Caenorhabditis elegans: one gene and its partners. The gene in region 2 interacts genetically with the main gene of each other region. Each region holds a gene or a part of one and is shown on either strand. Other genes may lie near its edges. The genes, in order: cdc-25.1, sma-6, efn-4 and pha-4.

What was found.
Region 1: changes in sma-6 (region 2) and cdc-25.1 together harm fitness more than expected from each alone (negative genetic interaction), as found in Caenorhabditis elegans (one large-scale study listed by BioGRID).
Region 3: changes in sma-6 (region 2) and efn-4 together harm fitness more than expected from each alone (negative genetic interaction), as found in Caenorhabditis elegans (one large-scale study listed by BioGRID).
Region 4: changes in sma-6 (region 2) and pha-4 together harm fitness more than expected from each alone (negative genetic interaction), as found in Caenorhabditis elegans (one large-scale study listed by BioGRID).

What each region holds. Positions count from the first base shown.
Region 1 is NC_003279.8:6,468,877-6,473,526, forward strand, and holds cdc-25.1 (M-phase inducer phosphatase cdc-25.1), read right to left. Parts: upstream 3,047-4,650; 5' UTR 3,027-3,046; coding exon 2,888-3,026; intron 2,840-2,887; coding exon 2,677-2,839; intron 2,634-2,676; coding exon 2,129-2,633; intron 2,079-2,128; coding exon 1,777-2,078; intron 1,731-1,776; coding exon 1,418-1,730; intron 1,376-1,417; coding exon 1,238-1,375; intron 1,191-1,237; coding exon 936-1,190; 3' UTR 510-935; downstream 1-509. Other genes in the region: K06A5.2 (DUF389 domain membrane protein), read left to right, coding at 1-118, 161-480; uad-2 (Chromo domain-containing protein), read left to right, coding at 4,345-4,401.
Region 2 is NC_003280.10:6,322,681-6,327,868, forward strand, and holds sma-6 (Serine/threonine-protein kinase receptor sma-6), read left to right. Parts: upstream 1-1,803; 5' UTR 1,804-1,808; coding exon 1,809-1,948; intron 1,949-1,995; coding exon 1,996-2,146; intron 2,147-2,364; coding exon 2,365-2,454; intron 2,455-2,499; coding exon 2,500-2,611; intron 2,612-2,655; coding exon 2,656-2,811; intron 2,812-2,853; coding exon 2,854-2,947; intron 2,948-3,036; coding exon 3,037-3,117; intron 3,118-3,162; coding exon 3,163-3,299; intron 3,300-3,346; coding exon 3,347-3,650; intron 3,651-3,726; coding exon 3,727-3,898; intron 3,899-3,941; coding exon 3,942-4,340; intron 4,341-4,385; coding exon 4,386-4,460; 3' UTR 4,461-4,675; downstream 4,676-5,188. Other genes in the region: C32D5.4 (uncharacterized protein), read right to left, coding at 1-399.
Region 3 is NC_003282.8:557,432-562,278, reverse strand, and holds the start of efn-4 (Ephrin-4), read right to left. Parts: upstream 3,046-4,847; 5' UTR 3,042-3,045; coding exon 2,944-3,041; intron 1,492-2,943; exon of another isoform or gene 1,354-1,491; intron 753-1,353; exon of another isoform or gene 631-752; intron 1-630. UniProt on the Caenorhabditis elegans protein: Regulates the formation or stabilization of cell-cell contacts at several stages of epithelial morphogenesis. In early embryonic development, involved in ventral closure of the epidermis.
Region 4 is NC_003283.11:20,751,112-20,759,086, reverse strand, and holds the start of pha-4 (Defective pharyngeal development protein 4), read right to left. Parts: upstream 6,036-7,975; coding exon 5,994-6,035; intron 3,747-5,993; coding exon 3,507-3,746; intron 2,559-3,506; exon of another isoform or gene 2,350-2,558; intron 2,178-2,349; coding exon 2,112-2,177; intron 2,054-2,111; coding exon 1,927-2,053; intron 1,664-1,926; coding exon 1,243-1,663; intron 931-1,242; coding exon 504-930; intron 444-503; coding exon 280-443; intron 1-279.

The DNA of each region.
Region 1 (4,650 bases), on a different chromosome or scaffold from region 2:
ACTGTACAGGGAGTTCTCACTGGATCCGCATTGTCACACGTCTTGATTTCGGCTGAACCATTCGTTGCCCTTTCTACTATTGCATCCTCGTTCATTATTGCAGTGATGAACCCGACTTGTAAGTTGCTTGCGTTAGAAAATACAAAAAAAGTAATTTTAGCTCGGGCATCTTCACTCTCAACCACTGTGGCCACCTCAATTCTGATTCACTCCACACTTGGAGCTGTTGAAGGAGCATTGACACCTGTTTATTTTGTACTGACTGGATTCTACACTCTTGCCGCTTTGATTCCCATTCAATTGGCTAGTCGTGATCAGAGCCGTGCAAATGTGAACTTGTATTCTGCCATTCTCGTTGGTCTCACCATCTCTGCAAAGTGCTTGGTTTACGGTGTTCTTGGAGCATATGACGTGCCAATCTCTGCTTCCGAAGAGCAATTTGGATTGGAAGGAAATGCTGAGATTAATGTGAACGCATAAGAAAAATGAATGAAATTTGATAAATATGTACAGTGTGCTAGGGGGCTTCATTTTGAAAGAAAATAAAAATGATCAAAAGAATGAAAGTCATGGTACAGTAAATGCGTGGTTGGGAATGGCGAAAGTGATTTAGAGAGTTAAAGATCCTCAGTGACTGAGTAGTTTGTTTGACAACTATTAGATAGATGACCTAGGCATAAGGCGTGAGTTAAAAAAAAAACCCTTCAGTCTTGGAAGCGTATTGCAATGAAGCCACATTGCTTAGAGACCAAGAAGGGACTGATTTAAAAGAATGGGTTGGTAGAAGAGGAACCAGTCGAAACGGAGACCTGCAAAGTGTGACTCAAAATAGAAAAAGAAACGAGAAACGGAAAATAAGTTAAGAAAAAGATGGGATGAAAATTAACAAAGTTTAAACAGAATGATAAATAAAAGTAATGGGAGAGAGGGTGCTATTATTCGGCGTCGTCAGAAATCGATGAGAAGTCAAGAATTCCACAAGGAATCTGATGACCCCCTTCCCCGAGTGGGAGATGTTCTCCTGCTGGTGTGGTTGACGATGATTCTGACGGGCGATCTGGGAAATCCGGTGTGATCACCTGGAGCCCAAGTTGAACAATGCGCTCTTCAGCTAGGTTGACTATGGAAGACGCATTTGAAGCATTTGAACTTATATTGCGCTGATAGATAAGAGCTGCATCTAAATCATTCTGCAAAATGAAAAAATTATACTGAAATTTTTAATGACAGTATTTACCTCCGATTCCGTGCTTTGAATATCGAACGCAGAAACCCATTTGGGTCGTCTCTCATCATCCAAACCATAAAGAATATTCTCCATGCTGCTTGTCTTGCTTCCAGTAGAGGTTAAAGCACTAGACGACCTTGATAACATCTAAAATTAGTAAAGTTGAATTGAAGACGATTTTAAACTAACGTTCAAAGAAGAATTATTTCTTCGAATTACACTACGAGTACATCTTTTCTTCTTTTCCTCGCGATGACTGGTTTCTCCATTAGGTTTCAACGAAGCCATTGAATGATGCCGTTCGAGACGAGCCGATTTAAATTCCATCGAAAATGAACTGTGTGTCATTGGAATGTAAGAACATGGCTCACATATCTGACGACATTCAGCAGTACTCCACAACGATTTATAGCCATAGTCCAACAAATACATTTCCGGATATTCGACATGTGGATAACGAAGTTCATTCAACACGCGGTCAATAGAACGTACAGCATGAGCCCTAAAAATCAGATATTTTATAAAATAAATAAAGAAATACCACCGACATTGTTGGCCCCCGTTTCTGACTGTATTCGCAATAGAAGATCGGAACACGATTTTGAAAAGAACTGGCTTCGCCGTTTTCTGGGAAAAATATTGGCTTGATCTTGTCATGACGAAACAAATTGATAGCTCCTTTCACATGACCACCCTTGTACTCAAATGGAAAACGACAGTCGACTATAATGTATTTCTTATCGAAATCATCTCCAAGACGTTGAAATTCCAAGAGTAAAGTAGTAGGTGAGATACTCCGGAATGCTTGTGACTCTCTCTGTGGATTATCAACACCGGGAAGAGTGTACTTCTAAAAAGTAATTTTCTGGATAACTTCAAAAAATAATCGAAAAAGTATACCACTTCTAACGTTGGAGGAAGTTCAGAATCAATCTCACCAACGCTCATCGCACGCAAAATTTGTTTTGGTCTCTCCTGGAAAGATCCGTTGCCTGACGTATCGGAAGTTTTTCGTTCAAAAAACATCGGCGGTGCCAAATCCCATAACGAAGTTGCTGTTCGTGGGGCAGGTTGAGCGAAAATTGATGTATTCTGAACTTGAGAGTTTCTGACGTTGCTCTGCTCAAAGACCTCATCGTCTTCATCACCGAATGGATCATCCCTCGGGTTATTGAGACCATTATAGCGACAAGATTTGTCACTCTGTGGAGCAACAAGAGACAAATTCCGGCTTCTCTTGCGATCCAGGAGCGTGACGCTGGGAGACATTGAACTGGAAGTTCTTTTCCGATGATTATCCGTTGGTCTCTCGCTCATAACTCTTTTCTCATATTCTGAGTGATCGAGAGAATCCAAATCAAACACCGTCTTCATCTTACGCCCTGTTGGTGTATCATAGTTGTAGCTGAAAATTGTTTTTTTTTGGAAGTCGCATGATGGGAATATACAAAGAAGAGCTGCGTGATGAGCTGACAGACGAGTTTCGTTGTAAAATTGAAACGAAATTGGAACAGTCTGTGAGGGCTACACGACCAGATTCCAGTTTGCTAAAATCCACATCTTCCTCGGGTGATGCATCTGATTTGTCGCTACAGCTAGTCATTGAGACACCTGAATAAGAAACAAATATTAATTAAGCCTTCCATTTACATGACAAACCAGAATCGCGGGAGCTGCCATCTTCTTCAAATAAGGTTTTCGGTGATTCGTTGATACCGTTTGCCACATCAACCACATTCTCGATGATATTTACATTATTTTGATCCTCATATATTGCTTTTTCCCCGGTGGTAGCCATCAGAGATGCACAGCCCTCAACTAAAAATTATAGGAGATACCAACATTTGAATTTAGAAGTAAAATTATTTGGCCAGAAACGCGGAGAGAGATTGACCACACGAAGAGACGCAGCCTATGTTACAAAAGAGGAAAAAGGACCGTGATTGACAACAAAGGAATGAATAAGAGCTTAATTTTTCCTAATCGAAAAAGAATTTAGACTCTTCGAAAATTTAGAAAAAAATTGGGCAAAAGATTCTTATTTAGTTGAAATTTAATCAAAAGAAGGATATAATTTGTGATTTGAAATTTTGGCGCTCTAGCGCCCAGTTTTCGTTTGATCTATTCATTAAGAAATTTTATTTTGGTATTTAGAAACTGCTCATAAAAAAAACGCAATCATCATCTTGAAATCAGCAAACCCAATTTCTGTATTCATCATGTTCTGTTGCACTGTTATACCATTTTTTTTTCAGTTTCCCATCATTCCGGGTATCAGATTTCAGAGCTCCCATGAACAAGCCACTTTTTAGACATGCTGGACGGCAATGTGTCTAGAAATCATTTACAGACGAACTTAGTTGACATTCAATCAAATTTTCAATAAAAAATTATGGAAATAAATTTGTTGATTGTAAATTTTGGGAGAATGGAGAGCTGCTTCCGTCAGTGAAATTAGGCCAAAGCCGCCCAACTACAGTAACCTCCCATAAAGCGTATTTGCCTCACCCCGTATTTTTGCGTAAAAGTGTTTCCAAAGTTTGAATTTTTTTCAATTTTAATTCGCGTTTTCAATGACACTCCGATATAACGGTACCGCGTGTTGTTTGTCGTAAATCATATGTTTTTTTTGAGTTGAATTCATTCAAAATGATGAATCATCCTTTAATTTATTCATAATTTTAGCCTTAAAACTTTAATTTGGTTTGTTGAAGCCTTCAGATTGTTATTTTAAATTGAATTAATAAATTTAAATGCATATTCTAATAGAATTTCTCATAATATACGAGACCCTAAGTGTTTTAGTTTTTTGTCAGTTTGTGTTTGTACGAGAACTCATACCTTTCTCTTTATACCGTTCCTTTCTTGTTGCTCGTAGCACTTTTTCTATTTATCACAATGATTGCCTTGAAATGCATCGTTTACGATTGTAACATTCTTTCTATTTTTCCGCTCCATATTTCTATATTATGTCTTCAAACCAGCTCTTGTTAGCTGTTATCCTGACCACAACCACCTTTTGGCGTTCTTGGATAATCATGAAAATTGTCAGTTTTTGAACGTGTAACCACTCTTGAATTACAGCTTTCATAACACTATTGTTTTGGTTTTTCAGAATGCCAAGCTCCAGCGAGACACTGCAACTTTTTCCTCACGAGGGACGAGGCAAAAAGGTTTCTAGGCCATGGTCGAGTCCCCGACAAATTTCAGCGGCCATTTATGTTGCTTTGTTTTCCGCGTGTTTTCTTTTGTTTTGCACCATTTTTTCCCGTTTTTCTTATTAAAACTAATAAATAAATATTTTTTGCAGATGCTAAAACAATTTCCAAGTGAAAAATTGTGTATTGAGTCGGTAAGTAGCGGTGAAAGTGGTCAATGTAATATGATGGATTACGGAAATACAAAACCTAAACTTTCCCAAA
Region 2 (5,188 bases):
GGTTGTGGACATGTGCGTCAAGAGACGTTTCATTTCATTCGGATTTTCTCGCATTTCGGCTTCTTCCGGCGGTGTAGTCATCACTTCGAAATCGTCTTCTTTGCATTTTAACATACTGCGTACGATGTTAATTTTTGATGAAAACGAAATAATCAAAAACTGATTTATTTTTTTCCAATCGTCAATATTTTTTCGTTTTGAAGTTCTTAGTTGGAATGTCACGGAATGAAATAGTGTGGCAGTAAAAATAATATTAGTTTCAAAACAATTCCCTTGCGTATTATTTATTGTCAGGAAAAAATATACATCATGAATCTTTTCCCATTCTTGTTGCCTTGGAGATTTCATTATTTTGTCGTCTTTTTTGGACTTCAATTTTATATTCTTGTTCCAGTACATTACATGTTTATATTCATAATGTGAGAACTTTTAAGCTTCATTGTGTTAAGCTGTAGTTTCAGAACTTTTTATACTTTCGCTTTTTGAAGCTTTCGGCAACCTTTGCCGGGACTGAACTTTCCAAAAACTCATAGAATCCTATAAAGTGTTTTTTTATTCTAAAACACTGGCACTGGTAATTAACTTAAGTATTCAAAACATTAGTTTCATTTTTTCTAAAATTTCTAGAAGCCCAGTATTGTGAATAAACTAAAGTGCCCTCAAAACGTATCATACTATTACAAAATTGATATTTCCGATAAGTGCTCAGAACTCTTTAAAAAATAATATTTGTCGAGTCCCCAGTAAACTATTAATATTTTATAAGTTGGGAACAACAAAGAAGGAAATGTAGAATCAGATTTTCATTGTCAAATAAATATCATTTTTGAATGACCAAAACTCAAAGCTTGTTTCAGATTTTTCAATATTTTCAGTTTTGGCAAATTTCCAAATTTTTAAATACTTCGGAATTCTTGCAAATTTTTGAGCTCTTCTTTGATCAAAAGTAGGATTATTGGTCGACTTTCAAAATTATGATAGGCGAAGCAATATTGTAACTTGTTATTTTGTTACTTTCCCTATTATGATTATTTTCCCCTGTGTTTGCCAAATTTTCCAAAAAAGTAAATTTTTAAGAAATTTCAAACGGTAAACCCCTACAACATTTGAATACAAAAAAATAAAACTCGTAGATTTTTTTTTGCCGACTTCTAGTTCTTCACTAATTTGTGACTATACATAAAAAATTTCAGTTTTTTTTGGTGTTACTATGGTATTGGGACATTTTTGCACTATAAGCATGGTTTCATGATATTTTCTTACTGACGATTTTAATTGTAGTACTATAAAAATTTGTCGTGCCCTTCCGAATCTTGTATTCATCCGGTGCCCAAAAATCGCTAAACTTCAAACGATAGAAACAATGAATAGATATTGAAAAAAAGAAACACCTGGTGCAACCCTCTTTTACATAAATCTAATCCATCTATTTTTCTCAGAAAAATGGCGCCACGCCATTTAATGACCCCGTCATTTTATGGGGTGGCGCGACAGAAAGGCGCCGCACTTCTACCTATTCTCCGGTCATACATATATCCATTTTGGCGCAACTTTTCCGTTCAGATCATTAGTATCATTAGGCGGACAAGTTGTCAAAAAGAACATTAAGTGAATGATGAGATAGTTAAGAGAGATAGTGTACTGATAGAAGAGGCCGTAGATTGAAATATTGTACGAAACGGAGAGGAAACTCGGCAAACAGTCTTTTCATCTCTACCTCTGTCTTTACTCGTTCTATTTTCATGTTTTTCGCAACTGACTTCATTAACAATATATTTTAATCAATTTATTTGCAAATTTCAGATTTAATGAACATCACCTTTATATTTATTCTCATTTTCGGATTTTTCAATACTCAAAAATGCTCAAAAGACTATGATCACTTTGACGATGAAGACTTAGCGTTGAGCATTCCAAAAAATGCAATAGGAGTTCCAAAGGAGTTCAGGTACATGAGTTTTTATATTTTATCAAAAATTCAGTTTTTCTTATCAGGCAACAAGTTTTAAAAGAGATGAAGCTTCGGAACAGACCCAATGATATTTTGAAAAATCGATGTTATTGCAATTATGATCAGTCGATATGTGGAAATAATATGACATGTGTGAAACAAGATGGAGCTGCTTGTTATCATGCCGTTGAAGAGGTAAAATTAACTTGTAGCTCTTGAAAGTTTCCGTTTTATTTTTTGGAATATTTTTACACCATGGAGGTTAGCAACATATGATCTAGGCGTTACCAGTTTTTTAATGAATGGATTTTTCTCATTTCTTGAAACTGACAAATTATAATAATTTTTTTTTTTTGAAAAATCGATGTTATTGCAATTATGATTATTTTCAAAATTATAAAAATAAATTTTAGGTTTATAACAAAGCTGAAAAACGAATGGAAACTCTTCATAAATGGGGATGTGCAACACTGGAAAGAGGAAGTGGAGCTTCACATTTGACGGTGTTTCATCGAGTTTTTTGAAATATTTCACCAGGTGTTTTTCAGTGTAATTCTTGGAGAGCAGCTCACCATTCTCCTAAAAGTATTGGTTGTTGCTATGAAGGTAACTATTGCAATAAGAATTTGATTCCGCCGGCATATGTTCATCATCACAAGGGTGAGTTTTTTTTTAATTTAAATTTTTTAACAGGGACTATTCAGAGAAAGCACTTCAAGAGAAAACTGACAATCCAGAAGACTATGATTCTCCACTGGAAAACATGACACGTGGAGGAAAAATGTTCATAATGGTATTTGCAACAGTCATGTCGGTTTTTGCAGTCATTGGATGTATTTATTTATGTATTACAAGAGCAGGTGAGACAGTTTTTAAATTACTAAATTGATATTTTGTTTCAGAAGAAAAATCTAAAGCCAGAGCCAGAGCCAAGACGGTGTCTCTGAAAACAGAATCAACATACATGGAGAGCAAATCAATGCTCGAAGACTCAGGGTTCGTTTTTATTTCCTAGAGTATTTGCGATATAGAGATATCATACCCATTATTTTGAAAGTGATGTTTTTAACAAATACAATTTTCAGAAGTGGTTCTGGGCAGGCTGCGTTGATCCAAAGGACAGTGAGACAAGATTTAACAATTATTAAAACAATTGGACAGGGAAGGTAAAATTAATTCTTATTTTAATCTTTGTTGCCTATATTTTTTAGATATGGAGAAGTTCGCAAAGCTCTGTATCGTGGAAGTTACGTGGCTGTAAAAACATTCTACACAACTGATGAAGATTCATGGAAAAATGAAAGAGATGTATATCAAACTAACATGATCAATCATGAAAATATCCTTCGTAAGCTATTTCAGTAAAATTACTTTGAATTTCAAGAATTGTTTCAGAATTCGTGGCGGCTGATATTTGGAGTGAGGAAGATTCAATGACAAAGATGCTTCTTATCACTGATTATCATGAACTGGGATCTTTATCAGATTATCTTTGCCGTGAAGAAACATTGACAACAGATGAAGCTCTTCGACTTATTCACAGTTGTATATGTGGTATTGAACATCTACATGCAGCTGTACACGGAACTGGAAGCTTTAGAAAACCTGAAATTGCACATCGAGATATTAAATCAAAGAATATTATAGTCAAACGACCAAATGTGTGTTGTATCGCTGATTTGGGTTTGGCACTACGATAGTGAGTTATTTCAAATGATGCATCTGAAAACCAAAGATTTAGTTGTTCTGAAATTTAGAAAGAATAATGTTTTCAGTCAAAACGACAAAATTCTCCCTGAAAAATTCAATGTTCAAGTTGGAACAAAACGATATATGGCTCCAGAACTGATATCAAACAAGTTGAATCCAAAAGATTTTTCTCAGTTCAAGATGGCAGATATCTACTCAATGGCACTTGTTATGTGGGAAGTTGCAATCAGGGTTGAGGTATGATTATTCAATGAGTTTAAAATAAAGGCCATGATTGTAGGTAAACACCTGTGAGGAAGTGTTAACTGTCGATGAGACCTCTCCTGATCACAGTGCATCAAGTGGTATCGGAGAGTCAGTTAGTTCATCTGGTAATATATCGAGAATGCATCTACAAAAAACAAATGTAGAAGGACATTCTACATCTCTGAAAGCAAAACAACATGTCCCACCATTCGATGGAATCGTGCACAATGATCCCAATTTTGACGAGATGAACGATGTAATTTGTGTACGTCGAATACGTCCACCACCGGATCTTGCCTGGAAAAACGTCCCAGCACTTAATGAATTGAGCAAGTTGATGGAAGACAGTTGGCATTCAATTCCACACTTCCGACATTCTGCTCTTAAATTGAAAAAAGAAATGGCTGAGTTGATCAAAAACCCCGACAGACAGGTAATTCAACACGTTAAGGAGCTATATCTAACTCTATGTTTTCAGAATCAATCGCAGCGTAAAGTTGAATTCCAACAGCAAGACAGTGGCCTTGTTGAGTCAGCCACCAATCAATCTTAACCCACTTTCTGATCTTACTTTCGTTGTACCAAAATTTTTGGCTTCTTTAAAATCAATTTTACTTTTTCAGTTTTGTTCATATTTCCACAACGGTCAAAATTTAAAGCGATCTCTCTAATAATTTCCCATCAATTTTTTAATTGTGCAACTCTTATGAACTTGTTCTCATCTCGATTTACTGCAATTTTTGTGAATAAACATTGTTCCAGACCTGTACGTTCGTGTTGTAATTATGCGACATTATTGTCCATCATTGCCTAATATTTCCTTGATAGATTGCCGATAAGACAAATTCTTAACTTGCGCTCCCTGTGGCAGAAGACGGAGCAAACAAAATTATCAGCTCAACCATGTTTAAATGTACGTTTATTATCTCTCTATCTGAATCTATCTGGATTGGTGTGCACTGCATTTGTGAGCAAATATAGGCATACTTGTACGTGGTTTGATAAGATAATACTGCACCGTTAGACAACTCTTTTGGGTGAAACAAAAGGGAGACAACTGCAAGTTGCATCAGTTGGAACAATGAAACATTAATTCGTTAAAACACAAAGCACATCTGATATCATTTTCACAATTTATTTCGTTTATCACATATTTTAGAAGATCATCCTTTTGTAAAGTTAAAAGTGGATTCATGATATTTTAATTTTGACAAATCTCGACTAGAAAATTTTTAAGGATATCAAATATTTCAAGAAATTTCTGCACTGCAAGTTACGGCA
Region 3 (4,847 bases), on a different chromosome or scaffold from region 2:
GATTATCTAGTCCCGTATCAAAAGCAGCTTCATTAGTCCACATATTCATTCCCATGACAACTTGAAAGGTACAAGTCTTGCAACACACAAGTTAAAGTCAAGAAGTAATTTGCATTGGATATAACACTTGCCCCCTTTTCTTTTTGATTTAGTAATGCGTGGAGCAGCCCTGAGCCCTGAGCCTTTAGCCCTGAGCTCCTTGAGCTCCTCTGCGTTTTAGATAAATTGAAACGTACAAAATGTACGTGATTGCTCATTCAAACGACGGATATGTTTGTGTGTGTGTGTGCTTTCGCGGATATTGGACATCGTGTTGAATATGGAAGATGGGACATTGAGGGAGAGAATGAGGCAAAAAAAAACATATGCCAGCCAGTTGGTGTCAACAGTCAACAGGCTTCTGCTGTCAATTCAATTCAATTTAGAGACTCTGCTTTTGAACCTTCAGACCAGATGAATATCAGTTTAATTGGCTGTTCTTTCTCCCCCTGTCATACTTCATTAAAATGGGGTATATCAAGTACTAATTACTAATTTGCATGCGGTCATTGAAAGCACCGATTGCGTAAAAAAACCTGCACAGATGGGTCATGGTGGGGGACTCTTCTAATTTTCAGATTAACCCATGAAGAACGATATAATCATCTTCATCAGGAAGGCCCTCGGTCTTTATTATTATTATTATTGTAACGGAGGGGAGACAAATCTATTGGCCGGCGGCACCTTTCAAAAGAAGTGTGCACCGGGGTGCCTGTAAATCTTGGTGGACCGTCATCCTTGCGCGCGCGCACATAGACTTTCGCGTCCTTCCAAGAGTCCCAATAACAAAAGAATGTAGATTTGCATTCAGTATCCTACTCCTACTCATATGCAAATTTACTACACAATCTTTAGGTATGAGAACCCCCCCCCCCCCCTAGTATCTTTTAAATCTCAACAAATCCATCACAGGTGTTCTAGGGGGAAAGTTTGTGATCATCTCACACCTTCTAAGCGATCCCATCAAACCGCCGCGGCTATTACCATCTTTTAATGATGTGCGACGACGACGACGGCGTGTATCGTCGGCAAAGTCAAAAGTCCCGATCAGGAAGATAGCCTCCAAAAATGTAGGTGAAACAGGTGTTTTTTACCTAAGAGTTTTAGGTGGTCTTTGTCTCGTTTGCATGTCCTGGCCAAAAAAGTAGTATCAATAGCCACTGTGTGCGGTAATGAGTGTGTTGCGTGGAGCCCCCTTTCAAGACTTCCGACTTGCTAAACAAAACTCTTTTGGTGATGACGTAATCATAAGACACACCCGATATGGAACATATGCACCACGCGCAGAAAATTTTCGAAAAACCACAACCTAAGGTTATACCTCAGCAGATTATTACAAGGATAAGGGCGGGGGAGCGGCGCGACCGTAAATCATACGCCGCCTGGGCCCAGAAGACGACGAACGATAAATTCTGAATCAGGAGGTCAGATCGAAAACGGCGTACAGAAGATGTCAAGTGCATTGACCCTACTAAAAATGTCATCGTTGGGACCACCCATCCAATAACAGAAAGCCGGAAATGGGAATGCTCTTCAAAAAGTGAAACCGAGAAGAGAGCAAGGAGTAGAGGAGCAATTTTCGTCGTCGTCGTCGTAGACCTACTTTTAATCGCATCAAATATGTCTAGTACATACACATATAGACCACCCTGAGAGAGAAAGAGAGAGGACCCTCTTCTCGTATTTCCACACCTGAGTTGCATAACGTACACACCATCTTAAGCCCCTCGAAAAAAAACCAATGAGCAAACACAATGCTCAAGTATGAGCAGTATATTGATATTACTCCAAGTAAATCTTGACCATGCACACACACACACACACACACACACACACATCCGGTACGGGGGCTAGGTGACTTATCTCAGTATGTCATCGATAATTACCATAGTATGGTGTGCTAATCTAGCAAAATCTTGAACGCTCAATATTCTGGGAAACTCCATTATTCCATAAAATTGGGCGACACACCTAGTTAACTCTCGAGTTGACACCTGACAAAAAAAAGTGACACCGACCTCCACAGTGCGCATTGTTATGCAAATAGCACGCGGGTTCGCATACCGTTAAAATGATCAGCAAGTATTGAAAAGAAAGACGGGTGTACGGGGAGGTCGACTACTTCTAAAGTCTTAGGGAAGTAACGTAATTTCCTTTACACCCTCAAACTATTTTCCGAAATTGAAGACGTATATCTCAGTTGTCTTTTGTTTTATCAAAAAGTGTTTTACTATGAAAATGTAGAAAAATATTTTTTGCATATTTTTTTAGTTAACCGTTTTTTGATAAAATCAAAAAGAACCGAGATATAAGCTGTCAAAGTGGAGCGCTGCCCGACTCCTTGGCTTTACTTTGACGTTGTAAATCTCACTTGGTTTCAAATTTATCAAAACATTTTCTACTACAAAAATGTAGAAAAATACTTAGCGCGTACTTTCCTATTTAAAACTTTTTTGAAAAAAGTTAAAACAAGCGAGATTTGCATACCTAATGGAGTAAAAACGAAAAAACGGCTAAGAAAAATTGCTCAACTGCTAAAGTCTAAAATCAATTCAAATCTCAAATCACCCTCGCTCCTTTCAAATTCTAAAAGACGGACATGGGTAAACAAGGTGAATTTGAGAAGCAGGTGTACCAAGCACCTCTCTCCATTAAAGAATTTCTAGTGGGGGTCCGGTGTATGCGGCAAAACAATGCATCCGAGATAACGACTCCCTCCTCCCGTCACATTTACAATTTATAAGATGAAGAGCCCTGGAGTTTTCGAGCATCTGCGGAGCCTTATCGGCGAGAACCAAACAATAAGTAGTTTCGAACGTTTCACCCCTGATTACTGTTTGCTCAACTTGATAAGATAATAGGTTACCGCGAGCGCGGGAATCGTACTATTAAATGTAGACTTACAGTGAATTTGTAGAGTTCCAGTAGACAATGTGCTCGTCTGCAGCGGCCAGTCCGAGTAGCAAAAATGTTGTTATTAAAAATTCGAAGAATTGTTTCATATTGCTGAAAATTGAAAAATATAGAAAATTGGGTGTAGGAACAAACTAAAAAATAAGTGAAAAATTTTTAAAAAGAAAAGTAAGATAGCATCGGAAAAATTGAGTAAGGCACAAAAATGAACAGGTAAGATGAAAATAGGTCTAAAGTCTAAATGTTTGTGTGCACACACATTTGATGAAAAGGGGGTGAACTGACCACTACTATGCAGTAGGAGACACGCGTCTCCGGAGAGCGCGCAGAGAAAATGAAGGTGGTGGCGGAGAAGGCGGGACTTACAGGGAAATAAGACGGGGGGGGGGGGGGCATCTGTTGGGACGGGTGTCGTCGGGGCGGGAAAAGGCAAGAAGAAGTAGAGGATTGAAATATGAGAAGTGAGTGAGAAGCCAACAGGACCGTCTCCTCCGGAAAAAGAGCCTATTAAAATGAGGATGAGCTGGATGAAGACGAGCAGTAGAAGTAGAAGAGCATGACTTTTTTTTTTTTTTTGAGAAATGAAATGGCAGCAATTAAGTCGTGAGAAGAGTTGAGAGCTAATCAAACGGGGAATAGGGTAAGTTGGAAGGGGAGGGAAAAAGTTGGATATTTTCAAGAATTTTTTTAAAAGTTCTAGATTTTCTGAGAATTTTAGAAAAATTTTTGAACGAATTTTTCCAGATCTTTCCAGAAAGTTCTAGTATTTTTGTGGCATTTTTTTGTACTTTGTGGGATCAAAATAGCTAACCCTTCTGCGTTAAAAATTAGTTTTTTTTTTTGATAAAGAAGAATTTAAATTCTGCTTTTTGCGGCAAAATTTTTATGGCAATAGTTTTTGAAAAATTGAAATTTTGGTAAAACTATATAATTTTGGAAATTTACAAAATTTGCGCCAATAAATGTAATTCTGTAAAAATTAAAATTTCAAATTTTGCGCCAAATTTACTAGAAATTTATTTTTCAAATCAAATTCAATATTCATTTATTCACAAGAAAAAGGATTTCTCATTTTCCAATTTCAAAAAAAAATAGGTGGGAAATTACAAATTTTCTTGAAAATTGTATCTTTAAAAATGTAGAAAATAGGTCATAGGTAGGTAGGCAGGTACAAGGTAGGCAGGCACGCAGGCATCGGGAAGGTGGGCATTAAAATGTTCAAGAACTTCCAAAAAACTTTTTAGAAAGTTCTAGATTTTCTGAGAATTTTTAAAAATTTTAGAGAATTTTCAATGATTTCATAGGATTACCTGAAATTTTTACAGGTTTAAAAAAAATTGAAAGAATTTTTCAAGAATTTTCCAGAACTTTCAAAAACTTCCAAGAACTTTTTGAAAAGTTCTGAAAATTTTTGAGCATATTTTTTTAGCATTTACTAGAATTTTCAAGGGTTTTCATGTTTTTCAGAAGGATTTTCAAAATACTTTAAGACATTTTTATAATTTCCAAAAATTTTCCAGAAATTTCTGGAATTTCCAGGAATTTTGGAATAATTTGTTAGGATTTTCAAGTTTCCCAAAGTTTCAAAACTTCCTAAAATTTTAGAGCACTGCCTAGAATTTCAGAAAATTTTCCAAGGATTAAAACGAATTGATATTTTCGGTACTTGTGTATTATACTTTAGGAATAGTGTTTTCCTAATTTTAAGCCTAAAATTCCACACGTTTTTATTTAAAAAGTTAAAAAATTAATTTATAAAATGGCGGGGGTATAATACACAAGTACCATATTTTCATGGATTTTGGAGAATTTTCCAGAATTTGCTAAAAATTTTCAAAAATTTTTTTTCTGTATTTCAATTGATTTTCTATAATGGTCTAGAATTTTCACAAATT
Region 4 (7,975 bases), on a different chromosome or scaffold from region 2:
TAAATTTTATTCAGAATTCCGGGATTAAGTTGAAATACTTTCCTTGATAATAAAAACCAATACTATCAAATTCGTTAGTACTTTTTTAAATCTTACTATTATGACCGAGTAGAACCAGACTCCAATTTTTACTAAATTGAAATTTATTGTTAACTTCTAAAACATTCAAAATAATCATGAGACCGTAGAAAATAAATGATGTGTTTTAAACAAGGAAAACAAACGAAAAAAATTAGTAGGGGGTCAACAAAACATCGTTAGTTATACCATCAGACATACCTGTAAAGAGTATTCTGGTATACTCCGTTGGTGTAGTCAATTCCTGGATAACTGCTCGTTGTGTTGTAGAGTGTGTTGTTCAGGAAATTCTGGGATTGTGGGAGAATTGTGGCAAAATCCGAACTGTAGAGGTAAGGAGACGCGTATTGACCATTGAGTGTCATCTGAAAAAATTCAAAATGGGAGCTTGAAATATTGTATTCACTGGCTAGATTTTATCTTACCTGTGCTTGCGTGGTTCCTAGTGTGCCAACACTTGAGATCACTGAAGTAGGTTGACTGTGATTAACAGCCGACGGCGTTCCCGATGGGTCAATTAGGCCAAGATTGGCAGCAGCTGCAGTTGCATCTTGCACAGCTTTCAGCTCTTCCTTGATCTCCTTCTTTGTAGAAATTTGAGGGATCAGAGAATAAGCACCAAGTGATGATGTGGTCGTGATGGATGTTGGATCCTCTTCTTTGATTTCCATTTTTGGAATGTGTTGTTGTTGATGCAATTGTTGGGAGTTGGCATTTCTCTTCTTTCTCGATGGCTCACGTTCCTTGACCTTGAATCTCTTCTGCCTACGGAGGTAGCATCCATTCTCAAACATATTCCCACAGTGCTCGTGAAGAGTCCAGAAGGATCCCTTTCCAGGCTTGTCAGGGGACCTGAAAATTATAAACTTAGTCTTTGTAAATCGTTTCCGGAAAACATCCATATAGATTTTTTGTCAAATCTTTTCACTAACGCGCACCCTCACTCTCTCCGGTAATTTCTCATTTCAACAGCTTCACGCATCAATGGGTGTCCCTTGGGCGCACGGTATAATAAATGTGGCGCTGCAGAAAAGGTAGTCCTTGAGATAAACTATATAGGTTCCGATTATAATAGGAAATGATGGTTTTTGTGGGAAAACAATAAGAAGTTTTTTATCGGGACAAAACGTGTCCAGAAAAAACTTTAATTTTCAAGACTCTTACCTGGCAACCTTTACAAAGCAATCATTGAAGGAGAGGGAGTGGCGAATTGAGTTTTGCCATCTTTGTTGATTGTTCTGATAGTAAGGGAACAAATCCATGATCCAATTGTAGATTTCAGACAATGTCAATTGTCTAGAATTAGACTTTTGAATTGCCATAGTAATTAAGCTAATGTAAGAGTATGGAGGTTTCGATTGTCCATAAGTTCCATGTCTTCTGATCTTTTCCGTGACAGTTTCAAATTCCTGAATCGTGAGTTCTTGGCCTTGCCCTCCGCTTACACCAGAATAAGACCTATCGGCTGGCGATGCAGCAACCGTCGAGCTTGATCGTCCATTGCTTCTTCCGATGACCGCTGAGGCGGACGACGTGGCCACGGAAGCGGCCGCTGTGGTGGCTCCGGTGGTGCCAGTGGTAAAACCTGAATGAGATCAAATTACAAATTGTGTATAGAGAGCGCCACTCAAGGTAGGTATGAATGAATAATGGATACTCATTTTGTGCTTGGGAAATATTTAGAGCTTTCAGAGTGAAGAGTATCTCACAATAATTTATTTAATCAGGATTGTCTATAGATATAAATTCATGCATTGTCTTAACCGTATTAAAAATAATTATATGCTATACTGTTTTTATGTATGTGAGAGTTAGTATTTAGACAATTAGGGATATTTTAAAACTTACCAAGAGGTGAAATTCCTCCTCCTTGCATGAAATTGGCTGGGCTGATGTAGTTCGATCCGAGCTGATTAGCAGTGGCATACTGGCTGTAGTTGTTGTAGTTCAGAAGTCCATTGGCAGCAGTCTGGTACTGAAAGTAGAATGGATGTTATTAGACTTATTAGTGAGAACAGGGTCAAACTTTTTACCTGATATGGTTGGTAGTTTAACGTAGTATTAGAATACGTCGGCAGATAGTCCTGAGCGTTCATGGCCTGCAAGAAAAAAATTGAAAGTTTGCTTTGAGGTCTGGGATTATGTAAATATTTAAAGATAAATACAAAATGTGTGTGTGTGTGTGTGTTTATAACAAATAACAAATATTTAGAAAATTCGGAAGCCCCACACGTGGAGCTAGACATGGAAATGAACAAATAAGTCCCGTTTGACCTCTGAACCTGAGCCTTGGAAATTCCTTAAAAAGATGATGCTCAAAGGTAAGTAGAACGCCCCGTACTGAAGAAGAGAGGTGAAGGAGAGGCTAGGCACTAGAGCAGCGGGACTCCGCCTACCTTGCCCTCCTATGCGCGTGCGCACCGCCTATCGCTTAGCCACAGTAACCCCGTCGCGGACTCCGCCCATTTCGGATTTTTACCTTGTTTTAGATTTCAACTGACTCATGGCTGAAAATAGTATAGGTGTTTCACTAATTGTAATCTCCACGTGGTGCTTTTTTAAGAATTCTAATTTTGGTTGTGTGTGTGTTTGTGGACGGTGGGGGGGGGGGGGGGGGGGGGGGGGGGGGTTCCTCGTCGTCGTCGGATAAATAAATAGAAATTGAATAAATATTTGGCTTCTTGGGCAACACGACGCCCAGCCCCTTCTTCTTTTGGTAGGAGGACCTCACAATTTCTATTTTCTTCTGGACACCATCACTTTGCTACTTTTTAGCTACTTTTCTAAAAAATTTTACAAAAAAAAAACTAACTGCTACAATTTTAAATCGAATTTTTATTAAATGAGGAGTACCGAAATCTGAGACTTTGCTTTTTTAACCCAAAATGACGCAAAACTACCGAATTTCATAATGAGACGTTTTAAAAATTTCTCAAAAAAAAGCTATGGCGGTTCAAAGTTCTAGAAAAAATTTGCCCATTTTCAGCTAAAATCAAATTTTTTTTGCCAACTTCTTGGTGTCACAGCGTCTTGAACATAATCCCTATTTGGTTATCACTCTTTAATTTTTGGTTGATTTTAATGTTGAGCCGTATTGGACCTCAAAATATTTCGCAATTCTAAATTTTGGTGATATACTCAGAATCTGGGATTGAATTTCAAAGAAATATTTTCGATTTAAAAAATTGATTAACGAATTGAAATTTTAAAACTTATTGCAGAAACTAACAAGTTAAACAGAAGAATAAAAAAACTAAATGACTCACAGTGCATTTACCTACTCAAAAAATTAATCATCAAAAAGATACGCCAGACGGTTATACAACTAGCCATATGGTTTTTTATTCTGATAAGCTTGGGTTAAAAATGACGATTATTATTATTACTTTATTTTTGACACCCTACCAAATTTGCCGCACCATACCTACCGTATAGTCTACACTTGAAGCAGCCGACGACGTGGCAGGCACCTGATTTCCCGTGTCGGAGGTCCCAGAAGTGGTTCCATTTGGCAACATTTTATGTTTCTGCTCGCGTTTTCGATTCTTCTCGGTTTCCAATAACTTTTTATTTTCCTGTTCCACAGAATCTTCTGAATCCGTTGAATTCGTGGTTGTGGCTGGCTCGGCTTCAGAGTCAGGTTCCGACTCTGGCTCCTCTTTGATGACCTTCAAACAAAATAGTTTAATTTTTTTCATTGTTAAAAAGTTCTCAAATTTTTCATTGAATTTTCCAAAATATCTCTTTTCCACTTGACCCAATTTTGTGTCCTAGCCTAGCACGTACTAGGATACTAAGAATGAGGTGGTGTGGTATAGAATTACATACAAGTGGGATAGAGGAGGGAGGAGGATTCAGATGTGAAGAAATTGAAAATATGTCCGGGGGCAATTTCGGCGAAAGCTTAAGGGTTGATGAGAGGAAAAGCGGCAAGGAAATCTCTTAAAAATGCAATATATAGCACCAAATGATACAAACGGCAATTTCAAGAGCTGAAGAACGATGACGAAATGAGAGTGGGTTGGAAATAGGTTCGGGATGCGAGGGTTTTACTACGTGGCGGCGAAGTTGAAAAAAAAAACTATCGCTATTTTTTTAAAAACATGTGAATGTTTCAACAAAATCTACAAGAGAAATCTTAATTTTTTTTCTTTTCTTAGACCACCTTATCAATACCGCTATGGGTCCTCTCACATTTTTATTAAAACTTTTATTATTGATTGAAAAGAGGCGTGGTATCAATCAGGGGTGGGCGGCAAACAATTTTTCCGGCAAATCGGCAAATTGCCGGAATTGAAAATTTCCGGCAAAGTGTTTCGGTCTTACGAAAAAATCCCTCTAAACATTTCCGGCAAATCTGATATCCGGCACCGGCAGTTTGCCGATTCGCCTTTTTTTAAAAACTATTTCCTTTTACTATTGCCGCCGTTTTTAGTCCGATTTTGAATGGTTCTTTCAAGCAAATTTTGAATGAATATTTCTGGGTCCAGATGTTCGCCCTAACAGTCGTTTTTTCCAGCTGTGATTCAAAATCGTAAAAAAACTTGAGACGACTATCATCCATCTGCCGCCTATTTTTTAGCACCTGTTATTATTGAGCATTAACTGCGCTGACTCATTATCTTATACACTTCTCCAAAATAATCAATAATCGTAAAATAGAGTAGAAAGCAGTGTAGGCGGAAGAAGAGGTTTCTTATCAATACTCACTCGATATGATTTCATTATTTCAAAATAGGTGTAGGTATATTAGAATCAAAAAGTGTGGGACGTTTTTAGGAAAAAGAAAATTCATGTCTATAAGAATAGTAATTGTAAAGTGAGAAAAACATTTTCCATGGTAAATCCAAACTTTTGAACCCCATTTCGTCATATTTTGTTCTAAAAAAATTAGGTTCGTCTTGAAGCTTATCACATATTTATCACTGAAACCGTGTGAAACGAACATGGCAAATAAAAGAAACAACAATTGGCAAACAAAAACTGATATCACATACACACTGCGAAATTGTCAAATATTTGCATGGGAAGGAGGAGCGAGAGAGTAGAAAAGAGCACAAAATATACGTCTAGGAGGCTCCCATTTTTGGGTGGAAGCTTTCGGAGCCACTGGTGGTGGTGCCCCTTCGGTGAATATCGCATTTCATCCATCGAAACAAAAAATATTTGGATGGCCCGAGTTTTGTTTTTGGAGCATTTTTTTCGGGAGCTCTTATTATCGAAATATGAAAACTTTTAATTTTCCACAGTGTTTCAAAACATGTTCAAATTGTTCCATAGAAATTTTTTCTAGCAAAACGAAGAAAAAACTTTGTGCGTGGACCGTGAGAATCAAATTTTCATTGTATCTCTCCGAAAAGAGAATCGATAAAAAAATCTTAAAAGAAAGTTTTAACAATTTCACTTTTTGAGCCTTGCATATTTTAAGAGTTCATGACTAACATTCAAATTCCAAAAAAGCTATTGAACTTAGAAAAAATGTATTTAATGTCATTAAAAAAGTTTGTAGTGATGTTTGAAGAAAATATGGTAAGCTGAACAATAACCTAAACTATTTCTGACAAATCACAGATGTTCATGATATTCTCAAAATGTGCATCTTCCCAGAATACCAATGGAGCAATAATAGGTGGCAACCTAGCATCCTGGCCGGGTCATATTGACATCGAGTATCCCCTGTTAATGAGCACTTATGTGCTATTATACACAGAAGGTGCTCATTTTCAGATTGTTTCAGAAGAGAAATAGAAAGGTAGCTGCAGAAATAGATTAAACATGTGTGGCAAAGATGGTTGTAAGTTTTTAATTTCGAAAAAAGTGAGCATACAGCCGGGAGCTAACAAAAACGTTTTCAGAGGCCCCGAACAATTTTAAAAAAAAACGATGCATGAAGCAGAAAATAACTGGTGCCTTACCCTTATATCAATAATGTCCTCATCACTGGATGGCGATGTCATTGTATCTCAAATTAGATAGTCCTTCAAAAAATACGCAGTGGACAGATAGGGTGTATAAGGTAATATTGGCTGGGGTTGGGTGATTTTGTTAGGTCTCTTGATACGACTCTTCGTTATCAACACTGTGACAGTGTGATGGTGATGATGGTGGTGTAGAAGGGGGCTGTATGGGAATGAGTAGAAGGGAATGGACATAGAGACGCAGTAACACGAGAGAAAAAGAGCACTGATTGATAAGAGAGTTTGACACGGACACCTGGAGACAGCGATCGTCACTCTCTGCTTCTCTACTTCTGCAAGCCTCCTTTTTGGGTTGTGGAGGGAGAGAGAGAGACTGAGTGATCGGAGACCGAGAGCGGGCGCGGTGCCCTTTTGAGTCATTTTGTACAGGCGTAGGGTGGTGGAGAGGGGAGATGGTGTTTCTTTGAAAAGCCGTCTGAGCAAGGGTGTTTAGTGACCCAGAATCGTATAGTGGTGTAGAAATGGAAAGTTTAACATTGAACTCCAAAAACTATCATTAAGCTCACAATCAGCTAATCTCAACTCTTCCTAATCATGTTTTAATATCTCATTTGAAAAAATGAAACCGTCCAATCTCCCCCACGACAATAGGAAAAATAAATTTCTCACCCTCAACTGCCATTCTTCTTCTTCTTGCCTTTTTCATCAACACAATTTTGTGACTGGTACAGATACATAAGAGGACGGACGCCGCGCGCGCGACATTTAGATACGTTATGGGAGCAAGATAAGGCTAGTTGTGTAGCAGTTAATAGCAGTTAAGAATTAGGTAGTATTAACAAAGGGCAATTTAAAAAGATATCACAAAAAAGTATAATATATTTTTTGTTTCAGTCATTCATACAATGTCCATTGGTCCGTTGGTGTGTAAGACTAAGAGACTACAAGTTTTATTGAAGGCACAGTACTAACTTTTGAATTTTTGAAAACCTTGAGAAAAAGAATCAAGCTTTGACAAAAAATTTGCTTGATGCTGTTTTAGGCACGAAAATTAAAATTTTCACAATTTTCAAAATTTCAAATCGTTCCGATTTATTTTTTTTAATTAATAGATACGGTACATCTGGTAACAAGTCTGTGCGAGACTATTAAAGTGTTCAATACTGGTATAATAATTACTGTAAATCAAAAAAAAGCAATAAGAAAGTTAAATCAATGAGACGCTAATACTCCCAAAAATAACTTGGAACAGGTGAATCATTTCAACGATTCACAAAAAACAGAGTTCAAGTTCCGTCTCATTGATTTTTCATTGCATACCACACCCAAGCATCCGAAACTAGTATTAGGTTCAGGAATGACTAATCTCCCAATGGATAGTTACTGTATCAAAAGAGACGTTCACAGCATTGCCCTCTCGTTGCTCCGTCCATCAAGGGCACTGATAATGAGGGTTATCAACATAATAGTTACAAAGACAGGAAAGTGACCAATAAGTTAGATGGTCCATTATCACCTTTTGACAAAAGTTTAATGGTTCCGCTTTCCGCATAGCTCATCGTCGGTAGAATCTTTTGTAACACTATTCTTTAGGCCTTTGCTATCGTTTCTTTGTTAAGGGGAATAGGGATTACCAATCTTTTTTTTTTTTGATTTAAAAATCCAAAAAATTATGATTTTCCCAGATATTAATACAGCCAGCTGTATGATCTTATTCTCAGCACCTCTGTATTCACTTTCAGAGACCTATAGAGACCTATTGTCCGGTTAAGTAGTCGCACCCATGTGCGATTTACAGATATAATGCATGTGAACAACATGAACGCAGTTATGATAGTCCTATTGGCGGGCTAAAAATCTAATCTTTCTTATCAAGGGCCATGGTATAGTTTTTCTGATAAGAAATGACTATAACTTTTATATAAATGCATTAATAAAGTTTTTGGAAATCTTTACATCCAATCATTATTTGTCTTTCC